2 linked regions of the Drosophila melanogaster genome follow. The protein of the gene in region 1 interacts with the protein of each later gene in a pairwise test. Each region holds a gene or a part of one and is shown on either strand. Other genes may lie near its edges.

Region 1 (4,474 bases):
ACGTTATGTAATATACGGTGAATTTAATCTTAGTTTATAGACCATTATAAATGGTGATATATAAAAATGAAATTTAAAGATAAAAGACAGCCCACACCTATCACCATTTAAAATATCAAAACGATGTAAGAATGTTATCGATAGGCGAGAAGCAACAGAGTGGGAATATGCCGCACAGGGTGTTTCGTGTGAATGATTTCGCCTCTTGTTTCTTATCTTTAACCTTCATTTCTGGCTCCGTTTGGCTATGAATTAGGAGCAGTCCCGAATAATCAGTCGAGCATACGTAGTTAACGATGGCGCCGAATGCAGCAGTACCAGTGGAGCGATATGAGCCTGAGAACATCGGGATCAACGCCATTCTCCTGGGGCCGCCGGGTTCCGGCAAAGGAACGCAGGTGGGTCAAAATTACATAATGATGTGTTTTTTGTGACACGGACGCCATGTAGTCTATAAATAAATACAACGTGTTCAAGTGCGCGGTTTTTGTTTGCAAATAATCGGTGAAGCTCGTTAATTCTCTTGGAAGAGAATTAAAACTGGTGAAGTTATATAAGACGATGTGTACATGGAAATGTATATGTATGTATCTACGTGCCAAGTATGTACATATGCGTCAAGCAGTGTCTTTCTCTTGACCCTGAATCAAATCAAAGCCTTGGCGAGATGTGGCGAATTAAGTGGAACACCTTTAGGCAATCGATTGGGTATTATGCAGACCATCTATTAAAAGGCTACCAGAACATTCCTGGCCTCAAGAAATGCATCTTATCTAGCCGATTGGTTACCTTGCTTACCTTCCGATATGGTGCTAAATTGATTAATTGATTAGCTCTAACTGAAACTTATCAATGTTTTTAATTATGCCCATTTCAGGCTCCCCTGCTGAAGGAGAAGTTCTGCGTGTGCCACCTGTCGACCGGCGACATGCTGCGGGCGGAGATTTCATCCGGTTCGAAGCTGGGAGCCGAGTTGAAGAAGGTCATGGATGCCGGCAAACTGGTCTCCGACGACCTGGTCGTGGACATGATCGACTCCAACCTGGACAAGCCCGAGTGCAAGAATGGATTCCTCCTGGACGGATTCCCCAGGACTGTCGTTCAAGCTGAGAAGGTAGCCACACGTGTGAAGCACTTTGGACTTTAGGTTATAATCCGTTCGAAACGCACTTTGCAGCTCGACACATTGCTGGACAAGAGGAAAACCAACTTGGATGCTGTCATCGAGTTTGCCATCGACGACAGTCTGTTGGTGAGGCGCATCACTGGCCGCTTGATCCACCAGGCCAGCGGGCGTTCGTATCACGAAGAGTTTGCCCCTCCAAAGAAGCCAATGACGGACGATGTAAGTATCTCTATAGGACGCTATCCAAGAACTCTAAATGAAAGCAGACCTTGTGTACTTGCAGGTCACTGGAGAGCCCCTAATCCGTCGCAGCGATGACAACGCCGAGGCTCTGAAGAAGCGACTGGAAGCATATCACAAGCAGACAAAGCCGCTGGTCGACTACTACGGCCTGAGGGGTCTGCACTTCAAGGTGGACGCCGCCAAGAAGTCCAGCGACGTCTTCTCCACCATCGACTCTATATTCCAACGCAAGCGTCCTGCCCAGATCCAGTTATGATTTGTTCCTGCGCAATGATCAACTACTGATAACTGCCTCCTGACAATTTATTTCGAGACACACACAACGTTTAAGCCTAAAGTTATAGTTGCATCCGGAAATCCTGAACAAACGAAATTACCTTTGCAGGTCGACTACTTTCCTTGTACAGATTTCTAAAGTGTATGTGTTTGTTACTTTTTACATTTCACTATTTGTAACTACAATACAATTTAATAAAAAAATCGAAGGAAACAAGTACATTTTACGAGACATGACTGCTTTAAACTGGGCTGCGTTCGAATGAGGGATGGACGACGCCAAGTTCAAACTTCCACACAATTGTTTTCCGGAAAGCTTCTGGAATATGATGCGGCTGACTCAGTTTCGAATCGAGGTTTTTAGCGTTTGATGGATAGCTACTAATTGTTCCGAGAACTATTTATTATTGCAATCAACTTTAAAGCGACTATTAAAGGGTCATGTTGCACGGGTCTCAAGTGTAACAAATGAGAAATTGCTAATGGAAATCGCTAATGAGATCGTTAAATCTGGTAAACAAATAACATATCGCCAAGTTAGCCCGTCCATCGTGGCTGCGAATCTCTCGCAGAGCGACTTTCGATCGCCGTTTAGTACTCAGACGTCACCTGCCTAATGTTAATGTCAATTTAAGTGTGTATAACTATCGCACATATATTATATAAATTTATAACGACGATTGACTAATCACTGGGTTGACTTTTCAGCAATAGCGATTTTCGCTTCAAAGTCTAAAGTGTGTGCAATCCCGTATGGATACGAGCCGAGCTCGAACACAGGCTCACAGCGCGCGGTTTGTGTTGTGTATTACACTTGAAGTTCAATCCCAGGTAAAAAGTGGGCCCAGGTATAAAAGCCCACTTCATAGAAACATTTCTCAGTTAGTTCCAGCAGCTGAATTGCTTCACATCTATTCGCTCCGAGTCGCCCCACAAGTCGAGCCCCATTGTAAGACCACCGCACCGTTTATAGTTTTTGGAGCCGATCGGCTCGGCTGGTCGACTGGTGGCTGGTAGTAGTCCACACACTCATGGACGCAGCCAGACGGGCAACCAGTTTCATTGTGTATAAACAGTGACATCTTTTCAGACAGCGAATGTGTTTCAGATACGCATACAAAGTGGCCTGCCTGGCTGTGCATTAATTTGCATACAAATCCCATAAGTCCACAGATACATTTTGCGAATGCAGTCGCGCTCGATGGCTAGTAAAAATATTTTTCCATTGCCCAGTAAAATCCCCTGCGCACAAAACTGGTTGCCCGACCAACAGACCCACTAAGCCACAAAAGTGCTGATTAATCGTACAAACATACTTACCCCAATTCGCCCGCAGAAAACTCCAAGATGAAGATGATACTTGCGCTTGTCGTCCTTGGACTGGTGCTGGTCGCCGCCGAGGATAAGTACACCACCAAGTACGACAACATCGACGTCGACGAGATCCTGAAGTCGGACCGCCTCTTCGGAAACTACTTCAAGTGCCTGGTGGACAACGGAAAGTGCACCCCGGAGGGCCGGGAGCTCAAGAAGTCCCTGCCGGACGCCCTGAAGACGGAGTGCAGCAAGTGCAGCGAGAAGCAGCGCCAGAACACCGACAAGGTCATTCGCTACATCATCGAAAACAAGCCCGAGGAGTGGAAGCAGCTGCAGGCCAAGTACGATCCCGATGAGATCTACATCAAGCGCTACCGCGCCACCGCCGAGGCCTCGGGAATCAAGGTGTAAGGCGGATCCCGGTTCCGGAAACTCTTGGTTATATGCACTGTTAATTAGGTCTACGCTTATATCTGATCATCAAAATTATTTCTACGATCGTGCTCGGAATAAAGAGATTTGTTTTTTTACCATACACCTGCCGAGTATTATATCGTTATCGAAGGGGGATTTGCCAGGCTTCAGAGAGTATATAAATTAACTATGACAAATGTAGCACTTAAGTCTAGCCTCCTGCTACTAGAACGATGATTAATCTAAGCACAATTAAGGTCTTAGAAAAAACATTCACAAGATTACGACTAGACCCTAATAAGCGGCTTATATATGGCGGGCGATTTGCATTAACATTGACAATAAAGGCAGCTACGGTTAGTTGGCAAAAACATCGCGTGCTTGTCTTGGTTCTGAGCTATTACTTATATTATTCTTAAAAGGGGCAATGAATCGAATCCGATGGCCGCAAGTAACTCAGCCGTGAAAACCTTCCTTCAAAGAACAAACAAACAATGTACAGCGAATTATTAATGTCACGGCAATTCACATTGCGAATCAAAAGATATTAAATATTAAATCAGTATTTTAATTACTTATAAATGTACAAAGCTTAGTATAAGGTTGTGGGCAGCGTTTACGTTAATGTTTCACCCTGGGCGACGCACGCCTCCAGATAGTCTATGCGCCGCTCCAGGATCGTTAGTTTTTCGTTCAGCACCGCCAGACGGGAGCGACAGGACATATCTGAAAGGATATGATAGCACACGATGATACAGTTTATAATGCCAACAGTGTACATAAACCCTATTAAGGATATGGGATATTTTAGCAACCCAACTACCTCGCACTCTTTGGCTTATCATTTATCACAGTATTTAGCGTATCTTAAATTATGCATAGAGCAACCGAAAAAGCTTATCCAATTCATTTAGGTGACTAATTCGGATAGAGATAAAGCCGAATTTTCGTTTTGAGCCCTCCGATGATGTTACATACATACATTTCCATATGTATGTAGATACATATATTGCTATACATATATGCCACCACGCACAAACCACTGTTTGTTTCTATAGACTTAAGACTTGAGTAAATAAAGTCATTGTCACTGATGAA
Region 2 (4,564 bases), on another chromosome or scaffold:
CGCAGTGAGATGCTGTGTGGCTGGGAGCCCACCTCCGCCGGCAGTCGACTGGATTGGACCACGCCCAAGGTCACGATGACCACGAGCAGGAGTAGTCGACTGTGTGAATATGACTGAACCGGACTCATGGCTTGTGGGATCTCAACTGAAAGGTGCGCCTACCGGCCGGCGGACCTTTATAGAACACCCCGTTTACGACCATGGGTTAAGCAATCTAATCGCCACACGATTGTTACCCCCATAAATTCAAGTCGCTCTCCTTATCGCCATACAATGCCCATCGATTAGATCGCTAAGTGGCGGTGACCACCGATCGTTGGCTGATGGGCCCATTCAGTTGCCAATCCATCGCCATGGCTGATCCACGCATTACTCTCGGCCTCGGCCTGCTAATCTTTGGCCTGATCCTCTCCGCGGAAGCCTCGCCACAAGGTCGCATTCTTGGCGGCGAGGACGTTGCCCAGGGCGAGTACCCCTGGTCCGCATCCGTGAGATACAACAAGGCCCACGTCTGCTCCGGCGCCATCATCTCAACAAACCACATCCTGACCGCCGCCCACTGTGTGTCCAGCGTGGGCATCACCCCGTGAGTTCTAACTACACTTTATGATTATATACACTTGGATTCCCTAAGCACTTCACTTTGAGAACTTTAAGAATATATATTCATCTACCAGTTCTAATCCCTATTTGTTCTAAATCCCCAGAGTGGATGCCAGCACCTTGGCTGTTCGCCTGGGCACCATTAACCAGTACGCCGGCGGCAGCATTGTGAATGTAAAGAGCGTGATCATCCATCCATCGTACGGAAACTTCCTGCACGACATCGCCATACTGGAGCTGGACGAGACCCTGGTCTTTAGCGATCGCATCCAAGACATCGCACTGCCCCCCACAACTGATGAGGAGACGGAAGATGTGGACGCTGAGCTGCCCAACGGAACTCCGGTCTATGTGGCTGGATGGGGTGAACTTTCGGATGGTACTGCATCCTATAAACAGCAGAAGGCCAACTACAATACGCTGAGCCGATCCCTGTGCGAATGGGAAGCCGGATACGGCTACGAATCCGTCGTCTGCCTCTCGAGAGCCGAGGGCGAGGGCATCTGTCGTGGGGATGCCGGTGCGGCTGTCATCGATGACGACAAGGTGCTTCGCGGTTTGACCAGCTTCAACTTCGGACCCTGCGGCAGCAAGTATCCGGATGTGGCCACCCGTGTCTCCTACTACCTAACCTGGATCGAGGCCAATACCCAGTAAAACTTTTGGTTCGCCATCCAAGGACTACCCTTTATTTTTTTATACATTTTTTTCATGTGCATAAAGTGTGTTACTCCCTCTACAAAAAAAAACGTTTTGTGTTTTTAACTTTATATGGATGCAAACTATATGGAATTTAGTGCTGGTCATAAAGCTACAATCGATAGAATAACATTTAATTGGCGCCGTTCAAAGGTTCTTTAATTACTAAGAAATTACCTTGAAACCTGTTTCTAATTTATGGGATGCCGTCAAGGATTATCTAACAAAATTGCCAAGTAAATGGTCACAACAATTGGCTATTATTGTTTATGGAGTCATATATATTAGAGAGTATGGCTATTTAACAGAACATTTAGATAGAGATCGAAGGAAATCGCCGTAATCAACCTGGGAACCAAACTTTTGTGCAGCTAGCTTGATCAATCGCCAATGACTGGGCTAAATCTTTATAATCCAGATTTGTTATCGCCAAGCTAAAGGGTAATTCCTACTAAATACGTTGATAATTTGCTTACATTCAAGGCAATTTTATAGAGTTTAATTAACACCAAAATGTTTAGACATTTTATTGAAAGAGCAACTCAAAAAATCCAAAGTTTTCCACGACTGATTTTAGATTATTCTGAGACCTGAAGCACCCTAATTTCCGTAGCTCCCCTGAGTCATGTGTTACTCATCATTATCTCCTATAGATGGTTGTAGTTGTACTGTCACTGGACACTGGTCGTTTGGTTTATTTGGACTTCCCTTCAACCGACTTGTGCAATTTTCTATTTATGTGCCAATTAATCGGTGAACTAACAAGTAACAATAGTCTATAGCGGCATAAAGCCATTGCCATAAGGCGATAAGATTAGATTTTCTCTGATGCCCAAGCCGAAGATAAGGATTGGTCAAGGAAGTGGTGGAGAACTTCGGGTAGAAGGTGGAGGAGGTGGTAGTTATATGGAGCTAGTCTCTTATATTCTCGTCGCTGGCATTGCGCATTTTCATTCCAACTGCCGTGGGTAGCAGAACCACCAAATAAAAAACCAAAAAAAAAATACAGGAACAAAATGATGCAGCCGAGACTAGTGATTTTGGGTCTGATCGGATTGACGGCGGTGGGCATGTGCCACGCCCAGGGACGCATCATGGGAGGGGAGGACGCGGACGCCACAGCCACGACCTTCACCGCCTCCTTGCGGGTGGACAATGCCCATGTGTGCGGCGGTAGCATTCTCTCCCAGACCAAAATCCTGACCACCGCCCACTGTGTGCATCGCGATGGAAAGCTGTGAGTACCAAAGTCAATCTACTAATTAATTAATTTTTACTACTAATTAATTGATTCATATTATTAATATTAAGTGCTCTTAAATAGTGGAAGTAGCAAATATGTAGTTTGGTTTGTACAACTAGGCGAATGAGTGATATTTGAAGATGGCCTATGCCTCGAATAACCATGTATTCCCTTTTTGTTTAAACCATTATATACAATACATTCAATACAAAAGTCTTGATAAAGTAATCTAGATTATTCTCACGAAATCCCCAACAGAATCGATGCCAGTCGCCTGGCGTGCCGCGTGGGCAGTACCAACCAGTATGCTGGTGGCAAGATTGTCAACGTGGAATCGGTTGCAGTGCATCCGGACTACTATAATCTGAACAACAACCTGGCCGTGATCACGCTGAGCTCTGAGCTGACCTACACCGATCGGATCACTGCCATCCCGCTGGTCGCCAGCGGAGAGGCACTGCCCGCCGAGGGATCGGAGGTGATCGTGGCCGGCTGGGGACGCACCAGCGACGGCACCAACTCCTACAAGATCCGTCAGATATCGCTAAAGGTGGCCCCGGAGGCGACCTGCCTGGATGCGTACAGCGATCACGACGAGCAGAGCTTCTGCCTCGCCCACGAGCTGAAGGAGGGCACCTGCCACGGAGACGGAGGCGGTGGTGCCATCTATGGCAACACGTTGATCGGGCTGACCAACTTTGTGGTGGGCGCCTGTGGCTCCCGCTATCCGGATGTCTTTGTCCGACTCTCCAGCTACGCGGATTGGATCCAGGAGCAGATCGCCTAGATCCGTTTCATCCCGTTTTTCCTTCACAAGCTAACAAAATAGAAACTATTTTCCCAAACTCAAAGCGGGCAAAATGACTCAATAGTTTGATTTTGATAAGGATAAGGATCGGTGATTGCCACTGGACTTGTGGTTAACGTAATAATCGCTAACTAAGCATGCTTATTTATTGTATTTATGACCTCAATGGCATGGCTTTTATAGCCCAGAACTCGAGTCATCGATAAAGCATTCCGGTTTTAGGGTCAATTTAGGCAAGCTTTACGTAATTTGGGCCTACAATTAGTTATATAAGGAAACTTGAAGACTTTTCAAAATCCAAAACCAAACCTTTTTTTTAAATGCCTTCTTTTGCTGTTCGAAACTGAAGAGATCTGCACTTTAAGATCTAATAATTATAATAAATGTGCAATAATTATGCAATAGGAAACTTTCGGCAAATTTCGTTTAAACATTTTCGTGCTTCCTTAACCCTTTTCGTCCAACTTTGACCTCCAAACTCTTACCACCGTGCGTTGCACACCCCTTGTAATTAGAGGGGCTTCATTTGCGAACGAAATGGGGTAACTAAACTAAATTAGGCAGCAGCTCGATAGCGACATTGACTTTGACATTTTAAGGAACTAATGATGATGAGCGTCTTAGATTTGGGTAGTATATATGCATACATATACATATATATATATATACATCCAGTGAAACTTGCAGTGAGCACTGCTTTTCAGTTAGCTAAGCCCAACCAGTCATGTTACCATTCTGGACATCTCTACTCGTCCTTTGCGCAGCCGGAGTCCTGGCACAAAACGATTCCGTAGTGGAGCCCCGCATTGTGGGCGGCACCAAGGCGAGGGAGGGTCAGTTTCCTCACCAGATCTCACTACGTCGACGTGGAAGCCACACTTGTGGTGGCTCCATAATCTCCAAGGACTACGTTGTCACCGCCGCCCATTGCGTTAAGCAAGGCAACAATGTGTAGGTATTGAATCTTCGGGATTTCGCGTTTCTCAATCAGAGTGCTTGCCCTTAGAGCTCCAGCTAATGAGCTGGAGATTCAGGCGGGCAGCCTGCTCCTTTCCAGCGGAGGAGTTCGCGTTCCAGTGGCCACCGTCACCGTGCATCCCAATTACAACTCCAATGGCCACGATGTCGCCGTGCTGCGACTTCGCAACTCGCTGACCTTTAACTCCAACATAGCCGCCATCAAGCTGGCCACCGAAGATCCGCCCAACGAT

Evidence for each region.
Region 2: the proteins of EbpIII (region 1) and sphe interact in a two-hybrid assay, tested with the Drosophila melanogaster proteins (one large-scale study listed by BioGRID).

Annotation. Positions count from the first base shown.
Region 1 is NT_033778.4:24,024,023-24,028,496, forward strand, and holds EbpIII (ejaculatory bulb protein III), read left to right. Parts: upstream 1-2,149; 5' UTR 2,150-2,279; intron 2,280-2,353; 5' UTR 2,354-2,476; intron 2,477-2,523; exon of another isoform or gene 2,524-2,594; intron 2,595-2,660; exon of another isoform or gene 2,661-2,981; 5' UTR 2,982-2,992; coding exon 2,993-3,373; 3' UTR 3,374-3,496; downstream 3,497-4,474. Other genes in the region: Ak2 (adenylate kinase 2), read left to right, coding at 297-398, 878-1,114, 1,178-1,345, 1,410-1,625; HSPC300 (haematopoietic stem/progenitor cell protein 300), read right to left, coding at 3,993-4,102. UniProt on the Drosophila melanogaster protein: Protein component of the posterior mating plug.
Region 2 is NC_004354.4:16,699,652-16,704,215, reverse strand, and holds sphe (spheroide), read left to right. Parts: upstream 1-2,243; 5' UTR 2,244-2,318; coding exon 2,319-2,539; intron 2,540-2,803; coding exon 2,804-3,332; 3' UTR 3,333-3,770; downstream 3,771-4,564. Other genes in the region: CG4653 (uncharacterized protein), read right to left, coding at 1-128; CG9673 (uncharacterized protein), read left to right, coding at 354-586, 708-1,260; CG9676 (uncharacterized protein), read left to right, coding at 4,078-4,304, 4,360-4,564.